Linked DNA regions of Coturnix japonica. The protein of the gene in region 2 interacts with the protein of the main gene of each other region in a pairwise test. Links are inferred from orthologs where the notes say so. Each region holds a gene or a part of one and is shown on either strand. Other genes may lie near its edges.

What was found.
Region 1: the proteins of ZFYVE19 (region 2) and VPS4B interact in binary tests that used the Homo sapiens proteins (3 or more experiments, as listed by UniProt). The two-hybrid records come from large-scale screens. The link is inferred for Coturnix japonica from reciprocal best matches to the Homo sapiens genes ZFYVE19 and VPS4B.

What each region holds. Positions count from the first base shown.
Region 1 is NC_029517.1:63,124,819-63,128,385, reverse strand, and holds part of VPS4B (vacuolar protein sorting-associated protein 4B), read left to right. Parts: coding exon 1-77; intron 78-686; coding exon 687-837; intron 838-2,029; coding exon 2,030-2,097; intron 2,098-3,567.
Region 2 is NC_029520.1:21,663,466-21,667,476, forward strand, and holds the start of ZFYVE19 (abscission/NoCut checkpoint regulator), read left to right. Parts: upstream 1-1,160; 5' UTR 1,161-1,234; coding exon 1,235-1,288; intron 1,289-1,415; coding exon 1,416-1,537; intron 1,538-2,534; coding exon 2,535-2,588; intron 2,589-3,167; coding exon 3,168-3,328; intron 3,329-4,011. UniProt on the Homo sapiens protein: Key regulator of abscission step in cytokinesis: part of the cytokinesis checkpoint, a process required to delay abscission to prevent both premature resolution of intercellular chromosome bridges and accumulation of DNA damage.

The sequences.
Region 1 (3,567 bases), on a different chromosome or scaffold from region 2:
AGATAAAGCAGGCAACTACGAAGAAGCCTTCCGCTTGTACCAGCATGCTGTGCAGTATCTTATCCATGTTGTTAAATGTAAGTGTAATGCGTTGGGTGATTAAGTTTTATATTGCCTGGAGTAGTCTCCTCTATTGACATCAGCATTTAACTTCTGACTATCATTGACATTTGTTTTCTGTAGTGTGGCTGAGGTGTTATATTATGCAGCTTGTATCCTCACTATATTGCATACCTGCTTCTTTCCTGTATGAACTCTTAGTTGTATCCACAGGTTGTTTTTTGCTTATTAATTCATGTCATTTAGTTTCCTATGGTTTTTCCAATGGCATTTTTTACTCATATCAGTCACGCTCATCACCTTGGCCAGCAAAATGTCATAGCAGTTTGAGGGGCTGAAAAAGCTTCTAGTGCCATCATCCTTACTCCTGTTCAGTCAAGTTTTCAAGGCGAGGCAATGTTCAGGTGTATATTTGATTTATAAGTGATTACTTACCATTGATTTGTAGGTGTTAACTTCTTTCCTGTCACTTCTTTCCATGGCGTAGGGGTAAAAATAAGTCAATGAAACGTTTGGATATGTGGTAAGCCCCAAGAGAGCGATCTTGATACAATGTAAAGATGTTTTCTGAATGATGCACGTGTATTTTGCTGTTAACAAAGCATTGTTTCTCTTCAAACTCTCAGATGAAGTACAGGGTGATAAAGCAAAGCAGAGCATTAGGATGAAGTGTACAGAATACTTGGACAGAGCAGAAAAACTGAAGGAATATCTGAAAAAGAGAGAAAAAACTGCACCAAAGCCAGTTAAAGAGTCTGGTCCTGCTGATGGAAAAGGGTATGTTTTGGGGAAAGGTAAAGCAAAATACTTTCTCAACTCGGCTTATTCTGCGATTCAGCTTTTCAGAGATCATTGCAAATAGTGTTTTTGAAGTGCTTCACTTCAGGTAGCTACTAATGTTGAGGTACAGCGGGCTTAGAAAGGAAAAATAATGTGAATTAATATCACAGGCTTTTTGTTCTTGTTTGCTACACCTTTGAATGCTTTCATAGGAAATTCACTGAAGAATGGAAGCTGTTTTGCACTCATACTTGCTTTTTGGGCTCAATGACAGTGAGCCTAGTGACACAATTCTGCATGCGAATATCTAATAACTAGAAAATAAGTTCAGATTTGGTCATGATTTCTGTAGTCTGAGTTCTATCTGTCTCTCATCTGATGAGAGGTAACGAGGTTCTGTCATAGGCCAATGTTCCGAATCGCTCTATTGCCTCGCTCCTGCCTATTCACTGCTTTCCTTCTATTAGATCTGTTTTTCGTTTTGCACATCTGGGAGCTGAATCAGCCCACCTGAACAAGCAGAGCCTCTTTCGTATTTTCTAGGGTAGAAGAAAGGTTTCACAATGGTGTCTCTGAGTGAGGTTGCCCTTTCTGGTAGCCTTGAACAGCCAGCACTGCTCACTTGTCTCTTGAAACCTCACCTGAGGTTTCAGCGTCTTTCATTGTCTGCTCATATAATGGGTTTTATTTTTTGAGCTGTTCTGCTGGTTTATAGTGGAAGGAAGCACGAGGCTACATGTCTCCATTCCATTTGTTCCCTATCTCACCTACTTCATTCTACTTTTAATTTCCAGTTTTCTGACAAGACTATAGAGAGTTTTGTGATGCTTAGTGGAACTGACCAAGTCCAGTTGCACTTTTAAACAAGGAGTAAGTGCCAGCATCTGCAGTGAAACCATTTTGCTGCTTCCACGGTGCTTTTGTTTCCTAGAGGCTGAGTCAACACACGTATAAGTATGTTAAGAGGAAGGGCTCAGGTCTGTAAGGAAGTTGAATTGGTTGCAGCGAGGGGGATTAGAATGTAATATAGAAAAGCAAGGATATAAACTTGTAGAAAGCTGAATGAATCTAAAATCATAAGGGTTTTCATTCTTCTGAGTGATATTTTTTCTGCTTCTTGCTTTCTGATCTGTAACGCAGGATAGCAGTCTTGATGTATTTCAATGTTTCTTTTTGGTTTCCAAATCAGGAATGACAGCGATGGGGAAGGAGAGTCAGAGGATCCTGAGAAAAAGAAATTACAGAATCAACTTCAAGGTAACTCTGAAGCCTGTGTTTGTTTAAATGGAGGTGACTTTGGTCAAGTGGATTTCTAGTTGCTTGTTGTATTTTCACCAGTTAACTTGTGTCTTTAAGTGGCTCAACTAATGTACTCTACATACAAAAATAAAGTCTTTATGGAAATATGGGTTTGTGTGCCATGAAATTCAGTGGTGAATATGTTGAAATCATACCATTTATCAATTAAACATTTTCCAAAGGGAATAGTCGCAGGATCCCAGATGGCTCTTTTGTCAGACTGTGCCAGTTTATGTGCTGACATATTGCCTAGAGGCCAGAGCTACAGATGTCATCCAAGTGCGTAGTATAAGCAGGACCATCTTCACAGAAAGGCTTGAACTCAAGTTGATAAGGTGGGAAGATGGATTCTTGTTTGTTCATAGCAACAGGCAGGATTTCCTCATGTTGCACTGATGAGGGTGTTACTCAGTTGCGTAACATAATTGTGTTTTTGAAATGACGTGCTGTACACATGCAGTGATGCAATACACAGCAGTAGTTTTTTACATAGTAAAGAAACGGCTTAGCTTGATACTCCTTAACGGTAAAGAATTAGTAAGAGCTTCCCTGGCAGATGATATGTATTGATATGAAGAAACTTCATTCTCCTTATTTTCACTATAACAAAGGTGAGATGCATTTGTCTGATCTCTCAGTTTCTGTCATTTCAGAAGCTGTTGTACACCTTTGTAAAATGTATTCTAGTTTTGCTTCTCTATACATTTACTCAATTCTATGTGTAGCCCTATGGGACAGTTTCCTGTACTTTAAAATCAATAAGCGTTGGATTCTTAGCCTGTGCCTCACTATAACCATTTTGTTTCTTCCCAGATTAATCCAACCTTCGGTTTCCTATGAACCATAAGGTTCTTGCTTATTAATCCTCTTGCTTTAAACATCTGAGATGTGAGATCTCTGGTGTCTTTAAACTTAACATAGGAGTCCCCTATACAGTGTAAGCTCTTGGCAGCCCTCACTTTGCTTATCTTCATTTTACTTCCCACGACAGCTACGGATATGCCCTGCATTTAGTTTTACTGCCTTGTTACTCTTAGCTGACTTTGCCTTATGGAACTTTCCACATCTATGGCTGTGTATCAACCAATTCACAGAGCTCTGAAGGCATAAGGGGAAAGTGACAAGAAAATAGCTTGCAAAAGCTGGTTGTGAGCTTATAGAAAACCCTTTGTAGAGAAAAGTGGCAACTGCATTGCTAAGTATGCTTGAGTACAGAAAGATAAGCATTAGGCCATTGACACTGGTTCATTTGGAAGATTTCTCTTACCTTTTGGATTTGCCTTGAATAGGATTTCACAATCTGCAGCTGGCTCACCAGCTCCACTGTGAGCTGTCCCATCTAAAAGATGCCCAGGTAATGGAGTTTTTATCTTCAGACTGACTAACCTGAAGTCTGGAGAGACAGGGGACATCACAGCTCAGCAGCTA
Region 2 (4,011 bases):
GTTAGGGGTCTTTGTTAACTGCTTTCCTTAATGAACATGCAGGTTTGCTGGAGATTCCACGTGTGTTCCAGACTATCTCCCACTCCCTTCTGCAGATATCAAAAGCTTCAATGTTTCTCCAGCTGTGTTTTGAATTCCTGCTTGCAGACTTCAGTTAAATTTGTTATTTTGCTATAAATTTGCAGCCCAACAAACAGGGAAACGCAACATCTAGAACGTTCTTATACTAACCACTGTTCATTTTCACCTGCCATTAGCTGTGAATATTAAATGGAGGACTCAAACAATTCAGACACCTGCTGTGAGCTTTAGGTACGCTCAATTGCATAGCAGAAGAGGATGTGCATCTAATAGACAATTATCAGCCCACAGTGGGCATTGCCCATGTATAATAATGAGGTAGAGGCCTGCTATTAACATTCAGTTTCTGAGATACATGAATTACTATTCACCAGACAACAGACACCAGGGACACCATGGTCACAGGTTTAGGATTCAAATGTGAGCACTGATTTTGAGAGGCTCTAATCAGAGATCATCACATACTATATACAGCCTGGAAAACCAATATGTAAGGATTTAATCTTAAAAATCAGAGTAACAGCAGTAACGATTACACATGTATAGGTGTATTCCTGTGTATGTACAAGCAGCTGTTACACAACAGGTCTGTGCTCAAACAGCCATTTCCACGAGCTTGTGGAAATGAGATGAGGAGTGTTTGTGTCCAAGATTCCCAACCTTACCTGCCTTGGGACTGTCAGGGTTCCTATCTGGGAGGTGAGTCAGGGCCTTTGAGCAACATGCTCTCTTAATCTGTAAAACCAGGACAGAGATTTGCCAGTCACTTCTATGAGACGAAAGCAGCCTGAAATCAAGCACTACAGAAACACACCCCAAAAATCTACCACTCCTAGGTTTGTTTTTGTTGTTAAAGTGTATTTCCCTGACATAAGTTGAGGCTACAGCACCAAGAAAACAAGAGTAAGGCAGAAAATAAGGGCAAGTTTGGCACGCTGATCGTACAGCTGGTTCCTCACCTGGACGAAAACTGAAACTCAGGTTCCAGATCCAGTTTGGTGACGGTTCGCTGCTTCTGTCACAGCGCCCGTGTTTCAAACGACGCTCCCCGTACCCGCTCCCGTCGGGCCGCGCGCAGACGCGGAGGGGCGGGGTGGTGCCTGCCGGCTGAACGCGGCGCTGCGGAGCGTGGTATGGCGGTGTTGGGAGGGCCATGGAGGGCCGCTGCTACGGGTGTGCCTGCAAGTTCAGCCTCTTCAAGAAGGAGGCAAGTCCGGCCGAGGGGTCGGCGGGGCCGGGCTGGGCCGTCGGTGCGTCCCGTCGCTGTAGCCCGGTGCGGGTCGCGCCGCGCTCCGCCGCTCGGGAGCTGATCCGCCCGCTTCGTGTCCCCGCAGTGCGGCTGCAGGAGCTGCGGGCGCTCCTTCTGCTCGGCCTGCCTGAGCTGCAGCGCCACGGTGCCCCGCTGCGGGAGCGCTCCGCAGAAGGTGTGCAAGCAGTGCCACGGGAAGATCACCGGGTAAGTGCCAGCGGGACTGCATCCTGCCTTTGGTTTTTCCTCCCAGTGTTCGTGGGTAGACCGTGATGGCCCGGCTAGGAGAGGCCAGAATAAGCCCCGCTATTATTTTTGCCGTTTGAAAGGATGATCTTTCAGATGCGTGGTAGTTTGGTAGCCTCTTCCTTCCCTTGTTTGTTTAATATCGGTACTATGGATTTAGAGCAGGAGGAATTCTTCCCTGCGTGGATAGCAGGTAGATAGTGTGTGTTGGCTGTGGTTTTGTAGGCTGCGTGAGTTGGTGTTCTGCACTCACCCAGCTTCCACAGTTGAACCCTTAGAAATGGTTGAACCCTTGAAAATAGTCCAGTGAAGGTGTTGCCCTTGTTTGCCTTTGCCTGTCCTTAGCACAGTGCAGGTAACTGTGCCTTCTAAGAATGAATAAAGTGTGCTAACTACCTTATGTAAGCATAGGTCAGCAGCTTGACACAAACACAGAGAGGCAGAAAACAGTTACACAGGATTGACTGATGTTCAAGTGCCCTAGAAGATGTCGTCACGGTACTGGTGATTACATAATTATTTCTGTAACGTTTTATTTAGCTTCTGCATTATATAATTTTGTGTTTGTTGCTCCTTTCAGGGAGCTGTACTGTATGGAAGCTAATTACCTTGGGAGTCCTACCTAACTGCGCTCTCTGCTTGCTGAACTGGGGCGTGCAGGCTCTGGGAGGCCAAGAGTCTTTCAGCTCCTCCTGGTGTCCAGAGTAAATGAAACAAATTTTGTCCAAATGCAAAACAACAAGAACATAGGACTAGGAATGAAGTCACCTCCTGTCTAAAGCAGCTGTATCATCTTAGTCACTTTCATAAGCTGATCACTATATTAATGGGGTCATGAAAGAACTGTACCAGGTGATCAATACACACGTATTCTGATTCCTCTTGGGCTGAGAGAATAGATGATTGAAGCATTGCTGGAGCCTTGAGTTCAGAGATAACAATGTTTTTTATGTTTCAGACAAGAATCTCAAAGCAGTTCAGCAAAATGGTCACCACCAGAAAACTACAAAAAGTGAGTTACACTTGCTGATCAGCCACCTGTTTCCGCTGTAGGGTAACCTTTCAGACCTTCAGCTCTTAACCCCTGTGTCCTCATAGAGTCCAGCAAAAGAAGGAGGTTGTGATGTGGATGTTTGCTTGTTCAATATTGGATTAAGGATGGGCTTTTTGCTTTGTGGGCTTTTTGGTTTTTTTTTTATTGGTTTTTTTTTTTGTTTGTTTGTTTGGTTTTTTTTGTTTTTTTTTTGGTGGTTGTTTTGGAGGGTGGAAGGAGACACTAATTCTGAATACGCTCACAAACAACAGCCTGTCTGTGTTAATCTTTGACTGATTGTGGTTGGCTTGGAAATAAGTCTGCTGGTGAAATGTTCCTTGTCTCCTCAGAAATGTCACGGCTGCTTCACCTGAGAGTTATGGTTTTCCTTATTCATAGTAGTGCTTCATTGTGCTGGTATGGGAGAGCCTGGTACAGGAATGAGAGGCTTCTTTTCTATGCTGATGTCCTTCAAATAGCTTGTGCTCATAGAGGATGTTTTCAAATCTCAAGATTTAAACCTCTGTTTTCAGTTGTCTTTTTCCATCCCTGTCACAGGCGCGTAGCAGCGTTTGAGGCTAAGCAAAAGCATCTGAAAGGACAACAGAAAGCAGATGCAAAACCACTCAGTCAAGATGACTCCAGATACCGAGGGCTCTCCAAAGAAGATAGAGCTATTGCAGAGAGACTGGAGAAGCTCAGGGAGGAAAGGAAACCCAGTGAGTTTTGGAGGACACCAGAAATTCCCTGGAAGGGAACGCTGCTACTTAAAAAACTATGGGAGGGAAAGGGAAGTGCTGGGCAATCAGTATCTGCCTTCTCTGGGAACTGAAGGCAGTGATGTGATCAGAGCTGCCACAGTGGCCAGGTTCTAGATTAATCTTCCACTTGGGATTTCTCTTGAAATCGCTTCACAGTCCTGGGGCAGTGTCTTACCTATGAAATCACTCCCTTATTTTTCATTGTTTGGTGGTAAAAATCTGTTGGGCACAGTAGCAGCAGAATGGAAGGGGGGGGGGGGGGGGCAAATCATTTTGCAGAAATCATCCTATGTGTTGCTGTGCTGAGTCACAGCAGTACCAGTCTCTGTGGGGTTATACTGTGAATTTTGCCTCACAGAGAACAAAACCAGGCTCTTATCCCAGTCCACAGCTGTCAGATTCTGGAACAGCCTTGGAGTGACTGTTGGAAAGTAAACCTTTAAAAGAACTTGCATATGGTCTCTAAGGGGGAAAAGGCACTCCAAAGTGGTTACCTGATAATGCAGGCAAGTTTTCAGTCTGATGCCTGGGAATATGTTAAAGGATGTGGGAGCAGTGGACTGTACTCCCTAAAGGACATGTGTTTCTCTGCCTGTCCCTCATATCTGTAGTCAGCTGATTGCCAAATGAGGTTACACTAA